Linked DNA regions of Rhinolophus ferrumequinum. The protein of the gene in region 1 interacts with the protein of each later gene in a biochemical or structural test. Links are inferred from orthologs where the notes say so. Each region holds a gene or a part of one and is shown in the gene's direction. Other genes may lie near its edges.

Region 1 (10,188 bases):
CATTTGGCAATAGCTGGAGACATTTTGGGTTGTCACGATTGGCATCTACATCCTACAATGCACAGGATAGCCCCTCACAACAAAACATTATTCAGTCCAAAATGTCAGTAGTGCGGAGGTGGAGAAACTCTGATCTTGACTGAATAAGAGACTGAATCTACTTTTTACACCCCATACTCGTTGTAGACCACTAGTGAACTAAATATGCTTGGTCAAGAAGACTTCTTTTTTCGTTTGTTTGTTTTTGCAAAAGTTTTTATTTTTATTATCTAGCAAGAAATGAAGAGGGAGTGTCCTGGCATCTGGAATTAAGACTTTGGCAATAGAAGAGTACCTGATCAATAAGAGAACACATAAATTACAATATAGTTATGCCTGGAATGCTCTATAGCAATGAAAATGAATGAATTAGAGCTACGTCTATCAACAGGGATAAATCTCATAAGCATAATGTTGAGTGAGGAAAGCAAATTGCAGATAGTACATGCAGAGTGACACTATTTCTGTAAAGTACTACATATTGTTTAGGGATAGACACATATGTAGTAACTGTATAAAGACACACATGGAAATGATCAAGATCAAATCTGGTATAGTGAAAACCTTGGGATGGAGGTGTATACAGAGGGCTCTGATTGTAGTGGTAATGCTTTCTTTCTTTCTGTCTTTTTTTTTTTTTGGCGTGTTTAGAAGTTTATTGAAGAGATGCGAAGATGGGTGGAATTTTAGTTTGAATGTAAATCTCTTTTTTTCCCTTGCTAAATTATATATATATATATATATATATATATATATATATATATATATATATATATATATATATAAATTTTGATTACAATTTATTGGGGTGACAATGGTTAGTAAAATTACATAGGTTTCAAGTGTACAATTCTGTAATACATCATCTATATATCACATTGTGTGTTCACCACCCAGAGTCAGTTCTCTTTCCATCACCATATATTTGACTCCATTTACCCTCTTCTACCACCCCCTCCCCCTTAACCTCTGGTAACCATTAAACTATTGTCTATGTCTGAGTTTTTGTTTCTTCATGTGTTTGATTTGCTCCTTTGTTGCTTTCAGTTTTATATCCCACATCAGCAAAGGCATATGGTTCTCGACATTTTCTGTCTGTCTCATTTCACTTAGCATAATAATCTCAAGATCCATCCATGTTGTCGCAAATGGTACTATTTCATATTTTCTTATGGCAGAATCGTACTCCATTATATATATATCACATCTTCTTTATCCATTCATCTATCAAAGGGCACTTTGGTTATTTCCATGTCTTGGCCACTGTGAATAAAGTTGCACTGAACATAGGAGCACACATATGTTTATGGATAAATGTTTTCAGAATTTTTTGGTATATACCCAGGAGAGGGATTGTTGGGTCATATGGTAATTCTATTCTTAACTTTTTGAGGAACCTCCAAACTGTCTTCCATAGCAGCTGCACCAATCTGCATAATGCTTTATTTCTTAAGCTGGGTTGTGAGCATATTCTCTTTGTCGTACTGTTGTCTATATATTTATGCATTTTCAAAATATTTAAAAAGAGCAATTGCTCAATGCTGAGGCATCCCATCACCTGGGGCTGAGGAAAAAAACAAACAATGGAGTATCTTATTAGTTTGCACTATCCAGAACTACTTCAATGTGGTAAATTGAAACAACTCATCATATCCGATCATTCACTATGGGACAGGAGTTTACATACCATACATAAGATAATAATCCATAAGTTCCTATTTACATTGTTGCACAGGATAGTGCCTGGGTTTGCTTGCATTGGAGCGCTCACAATATTTGGCATAAGAATTTGAGCACAGAATCCTTGCGACAAACAAAGAGGATCAAACAGATAATGGACAGCAGATTGCGAAGCATGGAATCTGTGTAAACAGGCCATTGACTAACTTGGTTTTGGTTCATTGCTTATGTTTGTCTCTGTGTATTTTCAGATGGTTTAGTGAAACTGTGATAGGAGTCAGATCCTCACACATCCTCTTTAATGAGGTGGACCTTGGAGAGTGAGAAACCACACATGCATAAAGAAGGAAAAACTTAAAATAATATCTGGAAATTTTGCTGTGGAATAAGAAGATTGGACTATATGTTTTCTGAAGTCCCTTCTAGCTGAGGGTATTTCCAGCTCCTGCCAAGCACCACCTGCAAAGAAGAAGCAGAGAAGTGCTTGTTCTGAGTTCCCACAGGCCAGGTTAGGGAGATGAACACATTCAAAGCCCAGAGCTGAGGCAGAGAGGCCCTGAGGATGGAGTTAGCAACGCTAGACAGAACAAAAGGGTTTCCTTTTTGAAGAGTCTTCTTTGCACTTAAGGCTGTGGGTGGTGTATTTAAGGATTCCAGAATGGCAGAAAACTCTGGGTAGAGCCTGGGAGCTGAATTTTACTGTTTTGTCTGCTAGAATTAAAATGATTTTTTCCTTCCCTATTAAAGATTTTCAAAAAAGATGTTTTATATTATCAAAGCTATACCCACTATTATAAGAAAGTTGAAAAATACAGAAAATTAGGATGAAAATGAAAAGTTCATTTAGTTATACCACCTAGAGACAGCCACTATTGATAGTTTGCATATTTCTTTCTAGCCTTTTGTTCATGCATATCCTCCGATTTCCATTAATTGTTGTGATCATATGTATATTAAATACTGTATCCTACTTTCAGTTAATATTACACATACGTATTTCTTGTCATTATGAGCTACGTGTAAATACAGTAGTCCCCTGCTACCTGCTACAGTAGTCCCCTGCTACGTGGTTTTGCTTTCCACGGTTTCAGTTACTCATGGTCAACTGTGATCTGAAAATTTTAAATGGAAAATACCAGAAATAGACAATTCGTAAGTTTTAAAGTTTGTACCATTCTGAGTAGTGTGATAAAATCTCGTGCCGTTCTGCTCCATCCCACCGGGGATGGGAATCATCCCTTTTGATCAGTGTATCCACATTGTATATGATACCTGCTCATTATTAATTTTTGGCTGTCTAGGTTATCATATCAACTGTCACAGTATTGCAGTGCAGTGTTCAAATAACACATTATACTTAATAATGGCCCCAAAGTGCAAGTGTAGTGATGCTGACAATTCAAATATACCAAAGAAAAGCCATAAAGTGCTTCCTTTAAGTGAAAAGGCTTGTATGTAAAGGGAAAAAGCATAGTATGTATAGTGTTCAGTGTGTTTTCAGGTATCCACTGGGGGTCTTGGAATGTATCCCCCATGGATAAGGGAAGACTACTTGTCAATTTTACTGGCTATATAATATTCCATCGTATAACTCTAATTTACTTAACCATTGAACCATTAGGTTTTGCCCCTAGTATTTGATTATTCTAAGTAATACTGCAGTTAACATCATTGTACAAAAAGTTTGTGTTTCTTTAGGACACATTCATTCATTCATTTATTATACAAATATTAGCGAGGGCCTACTATGTGCCAGGTACTACCATGTTTCCCTGAAAAATAAGACCTAATCTGAAAATAAGCCCTAGCATGATTTTTATGGATGCTCGTAATATAAAATAAGCCCTAATGAGTCTTTTGGAGGAAAAATTAATATAAGACCCGGTCTTATTTTCAGGGAAATATGGTAAGGCTTATATTATATTATGAACATCCTGAAAAATCGTGCTAGGGCTTATTTTCCAGTTAGGTCTTATTTTCAGGGAAACATGATACTCTAGGTGCCCACTTTCTGCCTTGGGTTTTTTATACTGATACAGGAAACAATGGAGAAGGAGCAAATTTAAGAGAAAAGATGGTGGGTTCAGCTTCAGATGTGTTGAGTTTGAAGGGCCTGCAAGACATCCAAGTGGAGATGTCAAGAGAGCAGAGCTCAGTGGAGATATCTGGATAAGCTATAAAATTACAGGTGTGGCCATACAGATGATAATTAAAGCCAAGTGAGTGAAAGAGATCACTTAGGAAGAGAGTATATGTAGCCTAGCCCTGAGAATGTCTGTCTTTCAGAAGTTAGATAGCAGAGTGGAATGTACAAAGGAACTGAGGAGAGGGCAAAAGGGTAGGAGGAAAAGCAGAAGAGTATGGTGTCATAGATGCCACAGGAAGACTTTCAAGGAGGAGGAAATGGTTAACAGCATTAAATGTAGAGAAGAGGTCAAGCAAGATAAGGACTAAAAATGTCTTATTTGTTTGTTTGTTTGTTTATTTATTTATTTATTGACACGGAGGTCATTAGCTGGGTATCTTGTTGAGCACAGTCTCAGTGGAGTGTTGAGGAAGAAAGTCAAATTGTTGAGTGAAAATTAAGGGAGTGGAGATTACAAATGTACCTCTAAAGTATATTTGGAATAAATTTGTTCATAAAGAGGAGCTGGAGAGGTATTTGGTGTGTAAAGAGGATTTTTTTTTTTAAGATGGCGGAGACTTGAGCATGTTTATTTGCTGATGACAGGTGAGAGGGACTTGAGCATTGTTAATGGGTGATGAAAAGAAGAGAGGGAGAGAGAGAGAGGGAGGAAGAGAATGGGAGAGGAACTTACAATTACTGGGTAGATATAAACATTTTAGAGTCTAATTGATATATATTACTCACATGCTTTGTCAAAGGATTTTTAACCAAAATACACTCCTTCCAGCAATTATAAGATAACTTATCTGGTGGCCACTTTGTCATCATTGTTATAAAAACAAACAAACAAAAAACTTTGCCAAGGAACCTCATTATTGTTCTAATTTACTCTTTGATTAAATAGTGAGTTGAATGTTTTACCCACTTGTGTCCATGTGTGTGAATTTAGTCTTATGCTATTTGCCCAAAACGTTTCTATTTTAGACACTTTTCTTTGCCACAAAAGGCTGAAAGTCGAAGAATCAGAATGGTATCATGTTTTATCTTACCAAAGTATATGGTCTACAGTCTTCTTCTCCCTAAAAGTACACGACCGTTTGACAACTTTTGGCTCAGCTGAGTGAAGAGGTTTGTGATTTATCATCTGAGAGAGTGACCACAGATGGAAATAAAAAGGGGGTCAGGTCTAGTCTTAGACCCTTATCCTTAATCCTCAAGCTCCCTTTCATAATCCTGGAGGGCATCCCTCCAGTGCCTTAAGGCTTTGGTTCCCAGAGCTCCTCTTGTAGTGGCACCGTCCCCTACTCAGGAGCCTGGAGCGCTGTGCGGCCCCTTTAAGAGTCCAGCTCCTCCCCGCTCCAGGGAAAGTTGCAGCTTTTTCCGCCTCCCGGGAGGGTGAGAAGGACCGGCCACTGCCGGAGTGGGGTTGCGGTCTTCCCAGAGCCATAGACCCTGCCCTGAATCCGGTGCTGGGACTTCTAGCCTCTCTCGTGGCACCTGTTGCACCTGACAGGTAGGTTCGCGGCCAGAGGCCGCCCCTTCGCCGTCGGTCGGGGACTCCTGCCTGGCCCCCAGCCCCTTGTCTCTGCCTAAGCGCCCCCACCCCCATCTCAGGGCCCTGCGTCCTTCCCTAACCCCTTCCGCCCTCCCACTCTTTCCTGTCCCCTTTCTGCCTCCCTGGATAGCCCTCCTGCCCACGCCTCGACTCCAGTCTGCTTGACTCCCCGGGGACAGTCCCTCCCCGCCAGTTTGCTTTCTCCCGAGCGCCTTCCCAGGCCCACTGATCGCTAACGAAGGCTGTGCCTCTCTGTGTTCCCTGTCACGCCTCGAGCGGCGTGGCCGGCTTTTCCCGCCTGCCGGAGCTGAGGCAATTCCGGAGAGCCGGCCCGGGGGGCAGGGGTGGGGCCGGAGCTCCTAGCGGGAACTGCGCCCTCCGAGGCGTCGAGTCACCTTTTCGCCGGTTCCTCTGGCAGTGCCCGGCCATTGCGCGTGGTATTGTCCCCGTACTCCTTACGGACCTCAGGCGGCCCGCCACAGGTAAAAAGGCTGCTGGCTGGCTGGTTGGCCCTAGTCCTGCCTCGGTGGGCTTCTTCTGCACTTGGGGCGGGGGACCCGGCTGTGTGCTCCAGAGTTGAACTGCTTTATCTTGCCACTTTTCAAGCAGGCTTTGCTCCTGGAGGAGAGTCCTCAGAGCCCTCAGAAGGGGCCCAGAACACTTCTATCTTCTGTTTTGGTTTATAAAGGGGCTTATGAACGTCTCCAGCCCTTAACGTTGAATGAAATGGTTAGTTTTGGTGGTGAAATCATTTGGTTAGAATTCTGGTGGCTTGAACAACTGATCTGTTTCTCATTAACTAACCTTTTCCTCCCCCAGTACCCTACTTCTTCAGGACCAGAGGACCTAGCGCTCCAGAATACAGCTTTTGGCAGGGTTGACCCTAGAGCTTGAACATCTGTGGCAGACATTAGTCTTCAGTACATCCTGGACCTCCTATTTTAAACTGGCTTTTCTGCTTTTTCAGCTCCCGGACACCACCCCTCATAAATCCATTAATATTAAGGTATTAATGACCTAATGTGTTTACCCACTGGTTTGTGGAGAGAATAATGTCTAATGCAAAGAGTTGAGACTCTGAGAAAGTTTTTTGTTGTGTTTTTTTTTTTTTGGTTTGTTTTTGTTTTTTGTTTTTAGCACCTGCTGGAAATCCTAGTAGAAAGGGACCACCAACTTGGCTTGTGAGACTTATCCTGGCAGGAGGCAAACATTTCTGGTAACACAATTTCAGGGGCCTCACTCTAAGTCTGAACAGTGAAATGGAGGCCTGTTCAGGGATGACTGGTCTGTGAGTGTATGTAGCATTCTGGTTGATACTCTCTGAGTTTTCCCCTTAAAGGCTGCTATTAATAATGGTTGTTAGAATCCACTGAGCCAGGCGCTGTGATAAGTTCTTGACATAATTATCTCATATAATCCTCATGATAACTCTATGAAGTAGGCGCTACAATTATAATTGTGTTATGATGAAAAGGAGACTGAGAGGTTAAGTGCCTTGCTCCAAATCACCCAACAGATGAGGGACAGAGCTGGGTCATCTTAATGCACAGCTCTGTTCCTATCCCCTGTCATACCGTCTCTGCTGCCTTGGATGTTAGGAACACTAAATAGCTCACGAGTGAGGACTAAGTGATTAAAAATTTCCCTTCCACGCCAAAGTATAAGTTTTGGTCCTTGACTCTACCCTGGATGCACTGAGGAGACTTTGGACCATTTACCTCACTGGTATCTTGCCCACTTCACCACTTCACTTCCAGCAGGGGGCCAGTTGCCACATTGCCACTCTAGGTACACACCCCTGAGTGTACCTGTCTGAATGAAACTTCCAGGGCTCTTAGCTCAGTAGTCATTGTCCTGAAGTTAAGAGAGGGTAACTGGATTCTAGGGATGTGTGACTGACTCAACTTCTTCCTTTCCTGCTTGCTAGGGGAGAAATGAGGATGTGGTATGCGATAAGGATTTCCCAACAGTCAAGCCAGAGAGCCTGAGGGGAAGTGTTTGCTTATTTTATCCTGGGATGGATGGCATATCTGAGGCAGGGACAGTCCAGGAGAAAAATGTCTTCCCTGATCCGATCACTGGGCCTTTGCTCAAACTGCTCTTTTTTTCCCCCTGAAAAGATAACTTGCCACCCATACCCACTCCCTGCCATTAATTCCTATTTATCTCAAAATTTACTCTAAAGTCACCTCCTTTGGGACAGCCTTTCTGAATACAATTCCTTCCCCTATGCAGAATTACCAGTTATCCTGTGTCCAAAAGCTCTTTGTTTATACCTCAGGAAAGCCCTTAACACCTCTCTTAGTTGTTTTTCCACCTGGAAGGTTAACCACTTTAAGGTCAAGGTCTGGATCTTGGAGCTCCCTTTGTCTTAAGCGTGAAAAATCAACAAACATTTGTGCTAAGAACCGGGGGTCCCATGCCTTCAAGGGCCTGAGGTCTGGTGATGGTGGGATTGAAGTACAAAAGATACCTTTTTTGAGGCGCTTGAAATCTGACAACTAGGAGTTTGTGTTTAAATGTCACCTCAGTGAGGCCTTCCCTAATCATCTTGTTTAAACTTGAAACCCTTCCCGGAATATTCTATGTGCCCCTTCCCTACCTTATTACTCTAATGTAACATATTGCATATTTTATTCATTTTTCTTTCTTATTGTCTGTCTCTCTCCCCCCTCCACAATGTAAGTTCCACGTGGGCAGGGCTTTCTGTCTGTTTTATTCACTAGTGGACCCCAGCACCTATAACAGGGCCTGGGACATAGGTACTTACCAACGTTTGTTCAATGAATTAATGAATGACATTACTGTTCTAGGAACTGGCACTTTTTTGGGCTCTCCTGGAACTGAAACTAAGTGTCCCCTGTCTGTCACCCTACAGTGTTAGGCTGCCCTGGGCCTAGTTCTCACTGTTTTCCTTCCACTGAGTTTTGCTTTCAGATTGCATTACTGATGACAACTTTGATCTAGTTGGAAGTGCTTCCTCTCTCTCTCCCTTTAAGGCATGAGGCTCTGGATGGAAACTTCTGAAGTTTGAAGTGGAAATGTAAAGATGCTATGCTTCTTGTGGCTACGAAGAGAGGCTGCACTGAGGGAGGGGTGTGGATTGTCAGATGTCTGGATACATTTTAGGCATTTGGTGAGCTCAGTAAGAAGCTGGAGTAAGTTACTGTGCAACAGGGAAGTGAACAGCCTAAAAGAATAAAAGATGCCACAAATAAAGCTTCTGGCCTAAAGTCACCCTTAGCCTTTTAGGCATGAGATAGCTATTGGATTATTAACTTTATGGAAAAGACATTGCTGAGTGCTACTTGTGTAGTGCTTGAAACCACTAGGTAACATAAAAGAAAACAAAGTACTGATCTGTTTAAATGTGTTTTGAAATATTCAGAAAGAAAAAAAGGGCTAGAATCCCTTAAAAGACGGGCTTGGAAGGAGTCGGACCCTTGATATGGTATAAAATATGTGATTCTTCACCATTTGATGTAAACTTTGAAGCTCAAATTTGTACAAAAAACTTCTGCTCAGCATCCTCTTCTACTAAATTTATTTCGCTAACCTCTGAACATTGGATCTCAGGGCTCAGTCCATGAACATTTGTCCATCCAAAATCTTCCCACAAACACTCATCCAGCCCCATGGCTTTAAATACCATCTATCTATACACTCATCACCCCCAGGTGTATGTCTCTGACCCAAGCCTTCTTTTAAGCTGCAGCCTCATATGTCTGCTGGCCTATTCAGCATCTCTACTTGGATGTCAAGTAGACATCTCAAATGTAATGTGGCCAAAACAGTACTCCTGATTCCTCTCACATCCCCAGCCCCTTCCCTCAGCTTCCTCTCAGTAACATGGCACTAGCATCCATTCAATTGCTCAAATTAAGAACCTAGGGTCACCCTTGATTCCTCTATTTCTCTCAGCCCACCAACATCCAGGTCATCAGCAAGTCCTGTTGACCTGAACTTCCAAGTGTATATATTCTGCCACATGTCTCCATCTCCTCTGCCTATTGCCCTAGTCCAAACCACCACAAAGCTGCAATAAACAGTTTGCACAACGCTGAAGGGTGGATAAATATAAGATGTAAGACACATATGCACGCAAATATTTCTGTGAGTTAGCTTTCTAGTAGAGAAATAGTTGGGTCAAAGGATATGTACATTTGAAAATGTGAGTAGGTGCTGCCAAAGTGACATCTAAGAGGGTTTATATTGTCACCATGAGAGTGAGTCTTTTTTAATTTTTGCCAATCAGATAGGTGAAAAATAATATCTAACTGATTTAACTTGCATTTTTCTGATTACTGGTGAGGCTGAGTATCTTCTCATGTGTGTTAGCTTTCGTCTTTTTCCTGAAACTTGCTCCTTAATATTCTTTGCACATTTTTCTTTTGGGTGATATATTTAATTTTTTTTTGTAAGAGCACTGTAATTACTAGGGATATTTACCCATCGCCTGCTATATAGTGCAAGGTTTTTTCTCTCTAGTCTGTCATATGTCATAACTTTGTTCATGATGTGTACCCCTCTTGAAATCAGATAAAACACACTATAAAACATTTTAAAAACATGTTCATTAGATTTGGCAATTATGAGGTCAATGATGACATTGGTGCAGCAGCAGGATGGGAGGCAGATTGTAGAGGGTTGGAGAGTGAGCACTGAGGACTGATAAGGAGTATGGTACACACTTTGAAGGGGCTTGGCTGTGATGGGAATGAGAGACTATTTCTTATAGACAGTAGGGCACGTGGGACAAGAAAATGTTGTTAATTTTGTTTTGCTT
Region 2 (10,309 bases), on another chromosome or scaffold:
ATCCTCACCAGTGCCTCAGTTAAAGGAATATTATCAGGGCTTTCCAGGTAATGGTCAGGGGGTGGTTTCTCCCGTCTCAAATTACAAATTTCTCCAGTTACAAATCCATTCCAGCCCCAAGATCAGGAAGGCAGGACGGGGAGTAAAAGAGAGGGAAAGCTAAGACAATGATAGATTTTCAAGTGGGCCACTAGATTTGATCCTGTGGCATTTTTTGAAGAAACTTTTAAATGTTTGTTAAAAATATTATCTTGAATTAATTTTGAACAGAGAAAAAGTGCAAAAATAATTTAAATTTTTTTCATGTACCTGCTATCCAGATTCTACAAATGTTAACATTTTACCACATTTGCTTTAATCTCTTTCCTCTTTCCATGGTCTGTATATACACAGACACACGCATTATTTTTCTAAACCCATTGAGAATAAGTTGCCCACATGATGCCCTTTACCCCTAAATAGTTCAGTGTGAAAGTCCCCAAAACAAGGATATTCTTTCATAATTACATTATGATGATCAAGATCAGAAAGTTAAGATTGATATTATTATCTAATCTTAGATTTTATCCAAATTCTAACAAGTCCCATTAAATATGCTTTAGAGCAAAAGACAGTTTCTTTTCTGGTCTGAAAACTAATCCAAGATCATACTTGAATTTAGTTGTCATGTCTCTGGTTTCATTTATGCTGGAGCAGTTCCTCAGTCATTGCCTTTCATGACCTTGACTTTTTTTTTTTTTTAATGAGAACAAATCCACTTTATTTACTTTTCAGTAAGTTTAAATCCTGGAGGGGTACAGCATTACACGGATGCTGTGTCCTATGGGCTTATCAGGAAGGTTGCTTTGGAATTTGGCATGAACCATGCCACTGTTTCCATGAGCGCAAGTTCCCTTTCCCCAGATTACTCTGGTTTTGTTTGGTTTGCCACCAGGAGTCACGGTGTTGTTCTTTGCCTTGTACACATAAGCACATCTCTTGCCTAGATAGAATTCAGTTTCATCTCGAGCATAAACACCTTCAGTTTTAAGAAGAGATGTGTGCTCTCTCTGGTTCCGGAGACCCGCTTATAACCAGCAAAAATGGCTTTGGACCACAGCCTTCCAGACACATTTGTCATTTTAGAAGTCCTGTTCCCAGCAGGCCCCCAAAGTTCACCAGCAAGAGTTCCACTAAGCTCCATATGGCCCCAAGATGGTGGAAAAAACAACGTTGACATTTTTTAAGAATACTGGTCTATTGTTTTATAAAAATGCTCCTTAATTTGGGTTTGTATAATGCTTTCTCATGATTAGATAGATTCAGGTTCCTATTGCAGAAATTATTTGTCAGTATGAGTTACAAATTCCTATTTTATTCCAAATGTTACAATCTATTACTATCACCAGGGATGACCACATGATTTGTGGGGCCCAGGGCAAAATCAAAATGCAGGACCCTGTGTGGGGGCAAGGAAGTTAGTCTCATCATGGGCCCACCGCTCCAACCCATGGCAAATGGGCACCCCCGAGAGAGTGCAACCTCCATCCAGTACATTCTTGATTCCTGGGTGGTGGTGGAAGGAGGTCCCTGATGAGTAGCACATGGAGCATGCCAGACTAGGGCAGACCTGTCTTCCTGCCCACCCGTGGTGCCGTGGGACATAGGCCCAGCCCTGAGCCCTCCTGCCCAGGCTCCTGCCTGGGTGGAAGGTGATGGTGGAATGTGGGCCTCCCGCAGCCACGGTGACCTGGTCAGTGCTTTGGAGCAAGGCAGTGACTGCAAGGCCCAAGGGACCAGGGGTGAGGAGTGGGCAACGGCGGGAGTCAGTCAGGTGTGAGCAGGGGCTCCAAACCCCCAGCGAGCTCCACTGTGCCATCAGATTTCACTTACAAAACACAAATTTAAAAGTAAAATTAAGGCCATTTCGTGGACGCCGGATCTGTGAGAGTGCTTGTGAAGCTGGGCGGAGGGGAACGGAAGAGCCGTCCGTGGGTGTGTGGATTTGAGCCTCCGTATTTCTAACCCAAGATTTCGAAATGCATCGTGATTCCTGTCCATTGGATTGTAAAGTTTATGTAGGTAATCTTGGAAACAACGGTAACAAGACTGAATTGGAACGAGCTTTTGGCTATTATGGACCACTCTGAAGTGTGTGGGTTGCTAGAAACCCTCCCGGCTTTGCTTTTGTTGAATTTGAAGATCCCCGAGATGCAGCCGATGCTGTCCGAGAGCTAGATGGGAGACCATTATGTGGCTGCCGAGTAAGAGTGGAACTGTCGAATGGTGAAAAGAGAAGTCGAAATCGTGGTCCACCTCCCTCGTGGGGTCGTCGCCCTCGAGATGATTATCGGAGAAGGAGTCCTCCACCTCGCCGCAGATCTCCAAGACGGAGAAGCTTCTCCCGCAGTCGGAGCAGGTCCCTTTCTAGAGATAGGAGAAGAGAGAGATCACTGTCTCGGGAGAGAAATCACAAGCCGTCCCGATCCTTCTCTAGGTCTCCTAGCCGATCTAGGTCAAATGAGAGGAAACAGAAGACCAGTTTGCAAGAGGAGTGGTGTACAGGAAATGACTTCATTTGACAGGAGTATGTACAGAAAATTCAAGTTTTGTTTGAGACTTCATAAGCTTGGTGCATTTTTAAGATGTTTTAGCTGTTCACATTTGTTTATCTTGGAACAGTGACACATAAAAATGTAATTCTCTATGGTTTGAAATGAATCATATGAGGCATGTAATATCAAGAATTGTTACTTTACAATGTTCCCTTAAGCAAAATCGAATTTGCTTTTAACTTTTTAGTCTTGCAGAGACTGATAGATAATAAACCTCTCCTGCCCATCTAAAGTGTGATGTTTAATATTACGGAAACTGGCAAAAATTGAACCTAAGATCTTCCAGAGCTGGGATATAATATGCAGCTGCAGTTGAACATACAGTCTTCAAAAGCTGCTGTGAGCACAAGCCAGGTAAAAATTAAAGCTGCGTCATTACAACTAGATTTAGAGGTTAAAAAAAAAGTCCAACTAGTCTTCACACTGGGCAGAGGTTGTCCAGTTGGTGTAGAATCAAAGAAGTTTCAAGAAAGTTAGTTTACCTTGCCTTTAGGTCATAAGTTTCTTCTGTGATTGCAGTATATGAATACATAGCTCTTTGTAACATTCTTCATTTGGAAATTTGAGACTATCCAAGATACCAGTGTCATGCCAGTTTAAGGGTACATTGTAGAGCTGAACTTTGAGTTACTGTGCAAAATTTTTTTTCATGCTGTCATTTGTAATATGTTTTGTGAGAATCCTTGGGATTAAAGTTTTGGTTACAAAAAAAAAAGTAAAATTAAGACTTTCATAACTGTAGCTGCAGAGCATTAAAATTCTGATTGCAGGGCCCTGTGTAACATACAGATTGCATGACCATGAAGTCAGCCCTGACTATCACAATTTATTTTGATGTTTAAATTGTCCCAGATTTGGCTAGTGGCAGCCCCAGCTGGCTACTGTGTTCTTTTTTCTTTTTTTAAATATTTATTTCAGATACAAAAAGTAATGTTTAAATATTATCTGAAAATCGTGTTCAGTTTAACAAGTATAAAACAAGACTTCTTAAAAAAGCTTACAACGAGGAATAATATACTTTGACATTCACAATGTCCACCACAGTGGGCATTTTTGAAAAATAGTTTTGTTAACAATGTAGCTTAAGAAGAATATCTTCAGTCCTAATTAAAATAAGCAAGTCTTTAGCTGAGGAACCGTCCTCCCCTAGGATGGTTCCTATGTCCTTTCAACAAATACATGTCATTCTTTGAACACACTTACTTTCCAGCTCATCCTTTTCTCTCTCCTAGACCAACCTATGAATCAAGGAGTATTAGTTATTTTTAAAAAATAGAAACAAAATTCACATAACAAAAGAATTAACCATTGGTGGCTTGTTAGCTCAGTTGGTTACAGCGTGGTGCTAATAACACCAAGGTTGCTGGTTCAATCCCTGTATGGGCCACTGTGAGCTGCGGCCTCCTTAAAAAACAAACAAACAAAAAAAAACACTTAACCATTTTAAATTGTACAATTCCGTGGCATTTATTACATTCACAATGTCGTGAAACTATTACCTTTATCGAGTTCCATTGACATTTTTATCACCCAAAAGAAAACTCTTATGTGCAGTAAGCAGCGACTCCATGTTCCCCAGTGCCTAGCAATGAGTTTACTTTCTGTCTCTATGGATTTACCTATTCTGGATATTTGAGTTGACCTCTCAAATCCATTCTTAGCTTTATAGCCATTAAGAAAATGGGTTCTAAGTTCTAGTCCTTGCTGTGGTAATTATTAGCTGTGATCTTGGTCAGGTTGCTTAATCACTTTAAGGCTCAGTTCTCTCATCTGTAATATGGGGATAAGAATAGTACTTATTTCATAAGGCAATTGTGAGAAGTAGATGAGGTAATACATGTAAAATTCTCAGCATATAGTGTGATTCATAGTAAATGGTCAATAAATGTTAGCTATTTTCATTATAATCATTCTAGGTTCTTCATAATCCAGCCTCTGCTTACTTCTCCAGTTTTCTTTATTTTTCTGATTGCTTCCTTCTCAGTTTTTCAGCTTTGCTGAACTTCTTTCAGTTGCTCCAATATCTCTTTTGCCTCCAGGCCCTTCCTCTGCTCTTTTTTTACTAGATTCCCTTCTCTCTCACGTTCCCACCTTCTTTATCCTTCTTGCTTCGTACATCATTTTCTCTGGGAAGTCTTGATTTGGTACCATTGCTCTGTGTGTTCCATTGACACCCTTTAACTTCCCTTATCGGGGATTTTATCTCATTGCCCTGAAGTTAACTGCTTATTTGTTCTCTTTCAAACTCCCTGAGATCAGAAACCAGTTTACTTTGTCCATTGTCACATCTGCAGTACCTAACAGTGCTTGACTCATTGAATGGGCCACAGCACCACTGTCTGTTTTCTGATCTCCTGCCCAGCAAACTCCTGGTGACAGCCCTGACGGCATGCAGCGGTGGGGAGGGCTGTGGGCCCTCTCCCAGTATGGTGGCATCAGTCATTAGCAGTTGGTATATCTTACGACTGTTTCTCTATACATGAACACAGGGCTACTTCTCCTGTTTTAACCTCCATCATCAACAATCTGGGGGTCCTTCACTCACCTGGGGAACATCCCTCAAAATCATCACCCTATGGTGAAATCTGTTATCCCTAACTCTGAGATCACTGTTGTGTATTTGCATGGAAATATTAGATTGAATGTATATTCAATATTTGGCAATTTCATATTGTTGTTCTATAAATTAGACACATATCTGAGAAGCTAATTGTACTGTAATGCCAACTGTGAGTGGTTACAGACTGGAAGGATGATGGGGTGGGCAGGTCGGCCTGGGAGAGCTGGAATTTGGGGTGCAAGTAGAGGCATTTCAGTGAGATGGACCAGATGATAAGAGAAGCTGGTCTAGAGATACCAATCATTTTGCTCTGTTTAGAAGTGAACTTATTTGGTTCAGAAGTGCTTTGCCTGACATCCCCCAGAGGCAGGTCCAAGACCACTGTTCAGACTCCACACCATTGGAGGAGAAATTTCGCTGCCTCTGAGTGGGAACCTGGTGGCCCGAACCTGCTTCACAAGCCGACCCACACACAAACCCGCGGGTGCTGAGACAAGGAAGCCACTGGGTGGCAGCAAAGGCTCGCAGATGTCGCCTTACTGTACTTTGCTTTTGTTTTAAAAATCAATTGCTCTCTTAGAAATTTAATTTTGCGTGATTTTTTAATCCTAATAAGACTGTACGACCAGAGACCCCGTTAGTCATTTCTTTCCAGAAATTATTTATTTCTCCCCTGCCATTTCCAAGAATGTCAGAACTTTCCCTCGTCCCAGGAAGGCCAAGTCCAGGCCGACCTGAGTGAGGAGAAGTCGGGGCGGGATGGACAACCGCAGAGCGGGACACGCGGGGCTGAGCCGGGCCCCCGAGGAACACCCCCCGACCCCCGCCCCCCGGGCCTCAGGAACCCCCGGAACAACTTTGCAGCTACTCAGCACCTCTGGCTACAAGGTGGAGACACCGATCATACCCTGGAAAACACCTTTAGAAAATAGCTTTTGGAGAAGGAGATTTGGCGAAAGTCACCAAACCGTACGTCGAGCCTGAAGTAGTTTGTAAATGTCATCCCCGTGTCTCAAAACGAAAACAACCCCCTAAGGTTTTGCGTCTTCCAGGAAAGTGCAGTGGAGACCTGGCTTGGGCCAAAGTAGGCGAGCGGGACCTTTCCGGGGCTCCGAGGACCCGTCAGCAGGTGCTGCGGTACCGGGATCCGCGCGCAAGGAGGTGCCCGCACCGACTCGGGCGGGGGTGCTCCTGGAGGTGACAGGAGGAAGCGGGAGGTGGAGGGTGGAGAGGAGGTCCCGCCCCCACCTCGCTCTCCTTTACGGGAAGTGATGTGGGGCCAGACGGAAAATACCCGCCAAGGACCCAAAAAAGGCCAGTAGCGGGTGGCAGCGGCGCGCGCAGAGGCAGAACGGCGTGGGGACGGCGGGGACAGCGGGCCCAGCCAGGTGAGGCGGGCGGCTGCGGGCTGCGCCCTCCAGGTTACGCTTCAGGCGGGAGGGCTGAGCAGGGTAGCTTGCGAGCCGCAAATCCGGCCCTGGGGCTGAACTCGGGGCTGCGGCTCCTCTGCCCACCTCTGGGAGGCTGAGCCGGCCAGAAAAGTTGCGTTGCTTCTCTCAGGCCCCGAGTGGCCATCGCACAGCACAGACCCGACAACGACAATGTCCGGGGATGGGGTTCAGCTTGGGCGAGGTGCTGATGAGGTGTAGTCCCAGGTGGGGACGGGGTCTGAGGTCACCTCTGCGTGGCATCCAGGCGAGAGTCCCCGTCAGTGGGGGAGGAAACTTCACTAGCAGGAGAGGAGGAAGGTCCCATGCCTCCAGCGCTGCCCTGTAGTTCTTTCCTCCCTCTTGTCGTTTTCAGTTGAATTCTTGAATGTCTTTACACCTTTGATGGTCAGGGTCTGGATTGCAAACTGGCTGGAAGCGAGAGGGTTCCCCTTTCTTCTGACGGTCAGACCGAAAGCCTTACCTGGCAGCCAGGCCCTCTGGCACTGGTGGTACTGCTGATGTGATGACAGGTTTCCGCAGCTATTGCCAAAGGCTTGTCTCTGTGTCTCAATAGATCACCAATTAAGCAAGGTCAGGCAGAAGTGAAGGGAATCTGTGAGCCCTTGACTCTTGCCTTCCCAGCCCGTGGTTCCTTCTGGCCACACGGCCTCCGAATCTTCTGCCACAGGGTTCTCCTCCTTCCCACTGTGGGCTAACAGCTGTTTTTTCCTACTGAATGGATTCTCACTTTATGGTTGGCTCATCATTCAGATGTTGGCAGGGCCGTATAAGTTTTCTGTAATTATCACTGATTTAACTTGTTGGTCCTTCACTGTTCCTATCCACCTCCCCTTCCACCCCCCCCCTTTTTTAAAATTTGCTTTGGGGGAAAACACAGTCTGGAAAACAGGGTTTTCTGCAGAGAGTTGGAAATGAAGGAAGGTTGATATAATGCTGAAAGAACTTGACTGAGGACCATTTTTTTCTGTATTTTATGTTGCTTTTCATTTCCTTCCTTCCTTCTTTTCTTCCTTCCTCCCTTCCTTCCTTCCCTTCCTTAATTTCCATGGCCTGCTTTGATATTTAATTTTAGTGATGTATAATTATTTATTTTTTCTTTTGTTGCTTGTGCTTCTGGTGTCAAATCTAAGAAAGCATTGCCAAATTCAAAGTCATAAAGATTTATATCTATGTTTTCTTCTAAGAGTTTTATAGTTTTAGCTTTTACATTTCAATCTTTAATTCATTTTAAGTTAATTTTTGTATATGGTATGAGGTAGGGGGGTCCAACTTCATTTTTTTGCATGTGGATATCCAGTTCTCCCAGCACTACTTGTCGAAAAGTCTATTTTCCTTTGCATGATCTTGGCACTTGTGTTGAGAATCATTTGAATGTAAGTGCAAGGGTATACTTCTGGACTTTCAATTCTACTCCATTGATCTATGTCTATCCTTATGTTAGCACCATACTATCTTAATTACTGTAGCATTACGTTTTAAAATCAAGAAGTGTGAGTCCTCCTACTTTGTTCTTCTTTTTCAAGATTGTTCTGGCTATTCTGGATCCCTTGAATTTCCATATGAAATTTAGGATTCTCAATTTCTCAGTTTCTTCTCAATTTCTGTTGCCTTGGTTTTAGAACATGTGTAAGTGTTCTAGAGTGGGAAACAATTTCTAGGAATCAGACTCTTGATTTTTTTCCTCCTAAACCTACATTTTTCTTAGTCTTCCCATTATCGGTTATAATGGCAACGCCATTCTTCCAGGCTAAACACCCTGGAGTCACCCCTGCTTCTCTTCTTTCTCTTGTTCCCACATCTAGTCCCTCAGCAAATCTCACTGGTTCTACTTTGAGAGTATATCTACTATAATAACCGTTTCTCACCAGTTCCACTGCTACTACCAAGTTCCTATCATTTCTGTCACCTGGATTACTGCAAAGGCCCCCTACAAGGCCACTCTGCTTCCGTCCTTACCATTCTACAGTCTGTTCTCACCACCGCAGCCAGAGTCATTAATTACTCTGCTCAAAACTCTCCGATGGCTTTTTATCTCAGGAGAAAAACAAAGTCTCATCATGGGCTACAAACCCATTACATGGTATGTAACTTCATTTTCTATTACGCTCTCCTTTACCTACTGTGCTTCAGACAGCCACAACTCAGGACCTTTGCACTTGCTGTTTCCTCTGCCTGGAATGTGCTTCCTACAGATGTCTGCATGGCTTTCTTACTCGTTTCATTCAGGTCAAATCCATTTCTGTAGAGAGGCCTTCTTGAACCATCCCATCTAAAGTAGCATCTCTCACCCCTCCATCATTTTCTGCTCCCTTACCTTGCCTTATTTTTCTTTAGGGTATCTTTAATACTAACTGTCCTCTCTCTCTCTCTCTTTCTCTCTCTCTCTCTCTCTCTCTCTCTCACACACACACACACACACACACACACACAGTATTTCTTTCCCATTGGTAGAATACAAGCTCCATAAAGGTCAGGAATTTTTCTTGTTCACTATGGTCTGCATACATTTAGAATGGTTTCTGGCTCATAGGAAGTACTCAAAAAAATGTGATGAATGATTGAAAAGGGAACGAGAGACTGAGAAATGGAGATCACTTTGCTATTTCTCACTGTTCCTTCCCACTTTAAGATAAGCAATGTCTACAATTATATTAACATCTAAGTCTCTATTTTTCTATCCTCTTATTTTCTCTAAGATAATGCCCTTACCCTCCTTGGAAAGGGAAAGATCAAATAAGTAGAAAGGTGAGGGCTCTGGCCTTGCCACAGCGGCAGTGGGAAACCCTCTTCTCTGTAGCCTGGATAGCTTGGTTGGGGCCATTTAGCACCTGTCTCCAGTGATTTAGCTTCTTAGATGGATCTAGGGAGAGAGTGAAATTCCTTTGAAATTCAAGAAAATGGAAATTCATTTTTTTTTCATTTTAAATTTCCTTCTTGATGAATACTTTATACTGTAGTAAATTCATTTTTCTCTGCCATCTAACTGAAATTGCCAACCTGGAGACTCATTTTGACATTTAATTACACGACTACTTTAGGCTGTCAGCTATTTATGTGTTTGTCCTTATTTCCACGACTAGATCGTAATATCCTGGAGACAAAGCAGGACTTCAGCTGATGTTTGAGTCTTATACTGCAAGGTAGCTTAGACAAAAGAAGTGTTCAATGAACTCTTGCTGAGTGTACCAATAAGTTAATGAATAAACGTGGATTTATTTTCATCTTTGGAAACTTCTGCTCTATACGTTTAATTTTTCTTAGCCAACAGCTGCAAGTACCTGTTTTAGTCCACCGTATCCTGCTACTGCTGATAGAGCAATATTGGCTACGGTTGAGTGGAGCTTCCTGCTGCCCTTTCCCAGACAGAATTGAATTAATTGGCTTCTAGTGTATGGTGATTAATCTTCCATGTTATTTTAAAAATTAAATTTTGCCTTCCATTGTTACTTAAACTTATCTTGCTTATCTTGGAATGTTTCCTATTTATGTCTTCACTGCAAAATATGAAAAAAAATTATTTTTATATATACTATATAAGATATATATATATATATATAATTTTTCTAATAAATTATGATAAGTTTGATACTTCCTGAAAAACAAAACAGGGCTTTCATGTTTGAAGTGCGAACCCCTAATTACCTAGATGGAGAGAATCCTTTCACAATGTATATGTATGTCAAATCACCGTGGTGCATACTTTA

The links.
Region 2: the proteins of SYTL4 (region 1) and RAB27A form a complex in vitro, tested with the Homo sapiens proteins (2 studies listed by BioGRID). The link is inferred for Rhinolophus ferrumequinum from reciprocal best matches to the Homo sapiens genes SYTL4 and RAB27A.

What each region holds. Positions count from the first base shown.
Region 1 is NC_046284.1:53,721,250-53,731,437, forward strand, and holds the start of SYTL4 (synaptotagmin-like protein 4), read left to right. Parts: upstream 1-5,237; 5' UTR 5,238-5,360; intron 5,361-5,725; exon of another isoform or gene 5,726-5,884; intron 5,885-10,188. UniProt on the Homo sapiens protein: Modulates exocytosis of dense-core granules and secretion of hormones in the pancreas and the pituitary. Interacts with vesicles containing negatively charged phospholipids in a Ca(2+)-independent manner.
Region 2 is NC_046289.1:53,408,074-53,418,382, forward strand, and holds the start of RAB27A (ras-related protein Rab-27A), read left to right. Parts: upstream 1-6,144; 5' UTR 6,145-6,542; intron 6,543-10,309. UniProt on the Homo sapiens protein: Small GTPase which cycles between active GTP-bound and inactive GDP-bound states. In its active state, binds to a variety of effector proteins to regulate homeostasis of late endocytic pathway, including endosomal positioning, maturation and secretion.